Danio rerio: one gene and its partner. The protein of the gene in region 2 binds, or shares a complex with, the protein of the main gene of each other region. Links are inferred from orthologs where the notes say so. Each region holds a gene or a part of one and is shown on either strand. Other genes may lie near its edges. The genes, in order: erh and dgcr8.

The links.
Region 1: the proteins of dgcr8 (region 2) and erh are in contact, whole or in part, in a crystal structure (PDB 7CNC), measured with the Homo sapiens proteins. The link is inferred for Danio rerio from reciprocal best matches to the Homo sapiens genes DGCR8 and ERH. Residues at the interface, in NP_073557.3 of Homo sapiens: Lys107, Phe108, Ser109, Pro110, Asp111, Leu112, Leu114, Leu115; in NP_004441.1 of Homo sapiens: Val8, Pro10, Thr11, Thr18, Tyr19, Ala20, Glu27, Lys34, Met35, His39, Arg42, Met43, Phe60, Leu64.

What each region holds. Positions count from the first base shown.
Region 1 is NC_133195.1:36,361,615-36,365,975, forward strand, and holds the start of erh (enhancer of rudimentary homolog), read right to left. Parts: upstream 2,897-4,361; 5' UTR 2,766-2,896; coding exon 2,763-2,765; intron 2,154-2,762; coding exon 2,066-2,153; intron 1,774-2,065; coding exon 1,653-1,773; intron 270-1,652; coding exon 167-269; 3' UTR 1-166. UniProt on the Homo sapiens protein: May have a role in the cell cycle.
Region 2 is NC_133180.1:25,176,707-25,181,104, reverse strand, and holds the start of dgcr8 (microprocessor complex subunit DGCR8), read right to left. Parts: upstream 3,100-4,398; 5' UTR 2,988-3,099; intron 2,248-2,987; 5' UTR 1,938-2,247; coding exon 1,248-1,937; intron 687-1,247; coding exon 524-686; intron 1-523.

The DNA of each region.
Region 1 (4,361 bases), on a different chromosome or scaffold from region 2:
ATGTGATTTAAAATGCAAAATATTTTCACTCTATGCTTTTGACATAACTCAAAGGACATGCATTCAACAAAATCTGAACCAGTTGGCATCAATTCACTGTTCAGTTCAGCCACGTCTGTCCTGTGATGAAGCGTAGTTGGGGACTAGTTCAATAATTCCACCGTCTTTATTTTCCAGCCTGTTGGGCCTGACGCCTCAACAGCACATAGATCTTTTCTTTGATCCAGTCTTTGTTGTAAGGCTGGTAGGTTTGTGTGTCCGCTCTGTACCTGTTCAAATAATTAAAGACAATTGTACATGATTGACGAGCATGAGCATTTAATAGGCCCTGTTTACACCGATATGTTTTAGTTTTAAAACGGCAATTAACAACAAAAACTATCCACATCCACACTGGCCATTTGCCTAGAATTTCGCCAAGGAGGAGAGATAATAGTACAGTCTTTTTGAGATACAGTCATACAGTCTTTTTGAAAGCAACATTTTTTGTCATCCTTACTGCAAACTTATATGAGCGATAATATCATTAAATGTTGAGGATGGCCTCACTATATTTTCCAGCAGAAAAGGGGGTCTCAGGCAAAAAAGGTTGGAAACCTATGGGTCTACAGGCTCCGTTTTCTTATAAATATGCATACTGTGAAGATGACAGTAATACAAGTATGTAGCTATACGATGCCTGAACATTTTTGGTGTCTATTTAAATCCTTATATCATGTTTTCATTGATTTTTTAAGATAGTGAAGCAGCGTAGTCAGAGTGACATGAATGACTATATGAACGCTGTGATTGTTATAAAGTACACTGTTCCCATTGAAAATTTACCCGACGTGTCCTCAGGAGGTAGTTTTCCATATAAAACTTGCAAAGTCTGAACTTTCAAGGAAAGGATGCAAGACTGAACTTAATATTGCATTTAATATTGGGAAAAGGCCTGAATCCGATCCGTTTTGAGCCTCTATTTTTCAGCAGTATTTTAACACTTTAACTTCCCCACCAAGAACTTTTTCTTGGGATTGCATTTCTTAAATTCTAAAGTTAACACACTCGATGCATTTTTTCCCCATCACATCCCATAATTTTAAAAATATCAACCGCTACCAAGTGGATAATATGTTGGTTTATGGTAAAAGTACTAAGAATCAATACACATACTATAAAAATTCTAAAAACATGAAGTGTAAGACTAATTTATAACAATATGACTCATTTTAAAACAATTTAAATAAAACATTTTAAATACTGAATCATCTTTATTTTTTTAAGTATGCCATACAATATTTCTTATTATTAAATAATTCAAGATTTCTTTTTTTTGCTTTTTACAATAAAATCAAAACTAAGTGTAGTAGTGCAAGAGGATTATGTTTGTTAGATTTTTTGTAAAGCAACAATGCTGTTTGTGTAAACCTTAATTTAAAACAATCAAAATATGGTCAACCATTTGATAGAGCAGACAGTTAAAGGGTTAACACAAAAGCGACCTCTTCAGCATTTCCAAAACACTCCGCTTTCAATGATCTAAAACTCTGGGGTAATCTGAACGGAAGACGTCACTGTAGCAAAACTTATGCGTTTTAAAACTAAAACTTTTTAGTGTAATCGGGACCTTAGACATTAGGCTTTGTCAAGTGAAAAGTGTGATTACTTACACAAGACAGCTGAGATCGGCAAGATCATCAACAAAGTCGAATAACTGGCTTATGTCATATGTGATGGAGGGACTGTTGGGATTCATTCTCTTCAGATGCTCTTCATACATCTTACACACTCCTTTTGGTAAGAAGGAAAATGGTTAAACACGCATTAAAAGTAGTAGTGCAATATTCAGTGTACAATAAAGATAGTTCACCCCAAAAAAAATTTGTTTTCTCTTCACAGTTACAAAACCAGTTTGAGTTTCTTACTTTCTGAAGACATTTTAAAGAGAGGTGAAATCCTAAAGCCACTGACTTCCATAGTTTTTGTTTTTTCTACTATGGTCAATAGTTCAATTTTTGGGTGAACTATCCCTTTAAAGCATTATAATTGTTTATAACACACACAAAGAAAAGAATTATCCTACCTTCCATACATTCGTTGACAGACTCATAATCTGCATATGTTCTGCCTTCTGGTCTCTTGGTGGGCTGCACCAGCAGAATTGTGTGAGACTGAACGATAATAAAGAAAAAAACATTTTATTGTGTTTATATCATAAATCAAGTAAAAGTTAGAAACACTACATATCTAGACGACGAATTAAACAATTGCGTGGAGCCCCCTACTGACAGGAACACAGCTTTGGCTCCTGACAGTGAGATTAATCGTGCGTTCATTTCAAAAACATGACGTGTTGTTTAGTTATTCATGTTTGACGTATGAACTAAATACACTTTGGGAATATAACGTTAGCTGATATGGATGCTTTGACACAATACCCAGAAAACAGCAGCTGTTGTACTCGAACCCTCCCCCAAACTAAAACACTACATGTTCCTCACAAACACTGATATTACCAATACTGAAGCTGAACAGGAGTTTGTTCCGGTCGAACTTTCAACAAAGAACCTAACTTTGCATGTGTGGTATTTCGAGACACATGAAAGCTCGCTGTGTTGAGGATTATTCGACGTTCTCTCGTAACACACTGCTAGCCGCGCGCGTTCGTTCACTTTTATTTTTGTTGAATGTGTTGGAGCAGTCGGTGAAACGCGATTTTTCTGATATGGTGGCTGTCTAAGGATATATACGAGTAGAAAAAACATCGACAAAATACTTACCATATCTGGTCCTGATGTATAAAAGTGGCGTTGAACGCTGGGGTAACCACTGACGGCTATTCACTGTTAGCAGCGAAGGAAACAGCAGGAATGTTCAAGAAACGATCACACTTCCGGTGTAGGCGAAGCGTTGGCTTTTCAAGATAAAAGCTTTTTCACTGTTACGGAAATGGTATTTATTTTTGTCGTTAATGACATTACTTATAATTTTTACTTCATATTTTGTATTCATTATTTTGATGTAATATTCAAATGACTGCAAGTGAAAAAGAAGTCAGCCTATTTACTATTATTTATGGATAAACGATGTATATAAGACTTTGCAATACTGTTTACAAATATTTGTTTAAATTTTGTACACACACACGTACACACACACACACACACACACACACACACACACACACACACACACACACACACACACACACACACACACACACACACATAAATAAAAATTAAATATTAGAAATAGGCTTTACAATATTATTTACAAATATTTCTATATTTAAATTTTTATAATTTAATGATTTTATTTTATTTATCCTGTAATTTTAACCTACATCACAAATACATAGTATAGTTTTTATCATCAAAATGTTATATCTGTAACAATGGTTTACAAAATTATAAATTCTTATTGTCACACATTTGTACCTAATTTATATATATTTTTAATTTAATAATAAAAAAATAATAATAATTTTAGGGTCAGTATTATTAGCTTACTTGTGATATAGATGTGAATTATTAGCATTTTGTTTTTGATTGATTGCTTGTCTTGATAACTTGTCGAATGTAAAACTAATAAATAACTTTTGATAAGCCTTTAAATCGTAGTTTAAAAGTACTGTATGTTTTGACTCTTCTAAAGCATAAAAATACTATAATATGTTTGCAGATGTTTAGTAAACATGCCACATGAACATTCTTGTTTATCTGAAAAACAATGTTAAAGTCAGATATTCTGCTTTGTAAATGTAAGTTATGTGCCGGAACGTCTGTCTCTGTTTTGGTTATTTTAACCCACCTATTGCAACTTTAGATTATATTTTAGCACCCCGGGTTGCCTTGGTGAAAAACGGAGCAATTCATTCATTCATTCATTCATTCATTCATTCATTCATTCATTCATTCAGTAACTCATTCATTCATTCAGAAAGGCTCTCAAAGCATGGTTCCATGACCACAACGCTACCTCCGTGAGAAAGTAGCAGACTCTGGAATGAGACGCAGATTCAGTTCCACATGAGGTTATTAATTTGCAAATAATATAAATATTACGAGTGTAAACATTAGGTGAGCAGGTTACATTGTAACCGCATGCCCTAACAACATGCTACATGACAAGATTAGTAGTTATTAGCAATTTAGCTGTTTGCACCAGAAGAAACATGAAAGAAATTTAAATAAAGACATTTAGAGGCACAGAATATGTACTCACTCATGAAAAGGTAAGTTTTAAAAAATCTATTTAATACATATTAAACCTCTTTGACATTATTAAATGTAGATGCTGAATCACTCATTTGTGTTGTCTTGCACTGAGTCACAATTCTAAAGTTCAATCAGTTTATTTTATTTTCAATATCTGAGGTG
Region 2 (4,398 bases):
GATCTTATTGTCACTTTAGATCGTTATGATAAAATAATATATGCCTTCAGTGATTTCCTGAAGATAAATACCAAAAAAAAACAAAAAAAAAAACAACTGGAATAACTACAGCAGTCACGATCGTCGGATCTCACATGAAGCAAGAGATCATGATGGCACATGATGACGTGTGCAGTGCAGTCTCAATTCTTAGGAGAAAATTTTGAAGCCCTTCCCCTTAACCCTCTGTTGTAAGGGCCAAGGGGAAGGGGTAGGGGTACAAAAATAGAATTGGGATTGGGCCTATAAGCCCCTCTTTATGTGCCTATTGCAGTTTTGCTTATGTCCATGCTTGTTTGTATCTATTCTATAATGCACTTTGTGTGGCCTTGTGGCCACATGCTATATCAATAAATAGAACTCAAAAATAATTACAAAACGTCAAGGGACAATAAAGCAAACTTGCTAAAAATTTTAACAGTGTAGCTAGAAAGAATGCTTGATGACTTCTGAATCAAGTTAACAAAGGGTTTCTGAGGCTCACTCTTAAGAATGGTCTTAATTTTGGTCATCATAGGCTGAACTCCGGCCTCCCCGTCTGAATGGTGATCACTGTCTCCAGCATATTTGTCTTCAGCCACACGCCTCTTCTTGGGCATGGGCATGCCTTCCTCCAACAGGGCATCTACATCATTGTCAAAGTCCTCCTGGAAGAGCAAATTGGTTAGTAACCAGCACCCACTAAAACATCAACTAGATATACACCAAGAAGCAGATTTGAATCAAGCCCACTTTATGAGCTGTGATTCAAATGTTCTTCAATGAGCCACCTTGTTACACTCCAGGATCCTTGTTGAAGAATGAAAAACACATATCTGCATATGACGCACAATTCAGTACATGTTTTATATGATGAACATCTTTAATTAGTCTGCATTATTTCAATTTAAAGGCATAGTTCATCCCGAAGACAAATCTGTGATCATTTACGTTTATTTCAAACCTTTGAGTTTCTTCTGGTAAACAAAACAAGATATTTTAAAGAAAGCTGGAAACCTGTAACCACAGACTTCCAACGTAGTTGTTTATCCTATTAAGGAATCAAAGGCTACAGGTTTTCAGTACTCAAAATACCACCTTTACTGTTCAACAGTATTAAGAAACTTAAAGGTTTGGATAAAACTCAAGGCAGAGTAAATTCTAATTGCTGGATGAACCATCCCTTTAACAAAGAGGAAATTATAATCGTAACAAACCATGCATTTTACCTCATAGGAGTAACTCAGGTCCTCCTCGTGCACTTGCTCCTGCTGAACTATCATCTGAGACCTGAAAGCACTTGGCTCTCCATCTTCCAGAAAGTTCTCGCTGAAATCTTCCAGGTCATCCAGCACAGCGAACTCAACCTTGTTCTCCTGCTCTGCCTCCAGCTCTTCTCTAGTTCTAGCTAAACCCATGAAGCCAGTGCTCATAGCTGAACTGCCAGGCACGCTTCTCATCATTACAGAATCATGCAATTCTCCGTTTATGCTCTCTAGGCTCTGATCTTCATCGCTAACCTGCCCAAAACCAGTGTACAACACCTTCCTGTCTTTGCTCTTACTGCTGTCCGAAAAGCTGACACTGATCTTTACGTCTCTGAGGAGTTTGAGATCAGGTAAAAACTTGGTAACAGGGGGAGCATGGCGAGCGGTTCTAGGGCAAGTAGTCATGGGGTCAGTACTATCTGATGGGCGGCTACTAACAGACAATGTGCGTTTGTTGAGGAGAAGCTGTTCGTCCCTGTCCACTGCTGGGGTGTGTTGGTGTCCATCACCACCAGAGCTAACGTCCATTTCCTCTGCGTCACTGGACGTTTGCAGGGGAGGTGGTGGAGGTGCTTTACTGTAATCATTCCCCGCCAATACTGCGTCAGGTGGCTCCAATGGGAGGGGAGGTAAAATCTCATTTACATCCATATTTAATTTCTTAAAAATAGCTATGCTAAAACTGATACAAGAACACAATTGGGGAGAGATGTGCCCGATTTAACTAAAACAATTGCAGCCCTAACACATGCATGTATACATTATAAAGCTTGAAACTCCTATTTAGTAATAGTCATGTACATGGTTGAATATGCTAAGCTGACTACATTGTTCTTTTCATTAATGTAGACAGCTTTTTAGAAATTACTGTCTCAATTATTGGAAATCACAATGCATTCAGCTTAAATGGTTCCCATATCTAAGCACTGTCCATCCCAGGAGGCCAGATCTTCTGTCAGTACTGAAAAAGAGAAAGGAAAAAGAAAAATCAAGAGACATTGGGAAAAAGTTTTATGGCACATTAAAACTGACTTGTAATGAATAGTTTCTTTAGGTTTTGAAATTAAGTAAATGCAAACGATAATTTAAAGAACACAGAAACACTGAGGAAGATGCATTTAGTTTAAAAATAAAATCAAGCCATGCATTTATGGTGCATTTTAGCTCTAATTACAAACAAAATAAAACATTTCCAGGTCTTAAATGCTAATTTTATATTGGAAGAGCAAATTAAGAGTGCAAAACTCTGCATTTTCAACGTTTAACTCATCACAACGCATAACGAAGTGGCATTACCTCATATTAACTGTGTATTTATTTGCTATACTGTAGTGTGATGTAGCTACATGACAGCCTAAAAAATAAACACTGTATTTAAAACGCATCATAACAAGCTGAAGCCCCAAAGGCCCTTGCTAAATTGTCGGCTAAGCGAAGCTAAACAAAATGGCTGCAATTCCTCACGACATTAAAAACTACAATTTAACGTCACATTGCTCGGCTATTAAACCAGGTTTGTTCAAGCTTTTTATTTTGTTCGGCAGAAACCAGTCGAAGACTCGATTAGTGAGTCCTTATACGGTATAAGAATGAATCGTACACGCCAACCGAACCTTTTCGACCAAAGCATGCGCGATAAAGATTAACGTCGGCAGGAGAAAATATCACTGATGTTTGAGCAAACGATTTTCTTTTACTTACCCAATTAGACAACGCGTCTACTGAAGCCAGCATGCAATCATAGGCATTTTCTGCTGATTGGCTTCAGATGGCCGTGTCTTCTCTCCGCCATCTTCACTGCAGAGCTGAGCAGCATCAGATCTTTCTGAACACGCCTCTCAACCGGCGCCCACGCACATGTGATTGGCCCAATCGGCTTGATTCATATTTACTGAAGAAACTTGCTTCCGATGTCGCTGAATTGCAATTTAGGAAGTCTTGATACTATTTGTGTGATTATTGGGGAAATGAAATAAATACTACACCCGTGCATTACCCAACACTCACAAAATTGCATTTATCAAGTGTGTAAGAATGAATTTTGTGAATGTGAGAGCACACTCGAGTGTAATTTTATGTCATTATGTAGTTGTTAAAACATGAATACACGTGTAACAAGTTTTTCAAACATGCCAAACTTTGTTGACGAGTCGTTGAGTCGAATCTTTCCAATGAATCTGTTGATTTACTAATGTCCTATTCAAATCTAATATGCAAATTATGTAGCCTATGTGATACACTGTATAAAAGATATACAATTTCGTGTTTGGATTTCAAATATAAAATATATGTCGTATACAGTGTGTAAAGTAACAGATTACAAATACTCAAATTACTCTGAGTAGTTTTTTTTCTCAGGATTAGTAATTTACTACATAGTTTTAACAATGTGTACCTTCCCTTGAGTACATTAGTGCTGTGTGTGTTTTACTCCACTACTTCCTTCAACCTGCAGTCACTACTCTATTTTTTCCTATCTATGGGAATTAGAAAATTCCGTCCAATCAAACCGTAGCCTACATAGAAAGTAAATCCCATCATACTGAACTACCTTAAGACACACAGCAAACAGTTTGGAAGCATTAAAAGTGTCCAATAAGGTACTTTACACCAGGGCTGCCCAAATTAAGTTCTGGAGGGCCAAAGTCCTGTAGAATTTAGCTTCAACTTGCTCTTGCCAGAAGCTTTTTAGAATACCTGGTAAAAGCTTGATTAGTTGGTTCCGGTGTGTCTAATTGTGGATGAAGCTAAAATCTGCAAGACACCGGCCCTTCAGGATTGAGTTTGGGCATCGCTGCCCAAAACTGATCGTATATGTAAAATGTCATACAATAATTTTGTCTACCAAAAGTTACAAATATGCAGGGGTGTATTAGTCACCAATAGTATCTGAATGCAGATTATACAAGGCAAGCTGATTTGTATGTGTGTGTGAATTATTGTAATATTTAACACTTGCAATTACAACGCCCCAACATCTACTTGTATGAATGGTACTTAAAAAATAAATAAATCAAGCACATCTGCACTTGTATATATTCTTGAAAGTATTGTGCTATGAACATACACAAGGGTTAATCAGACGAGGCAGCAAACGGGTAATCAAATTCTG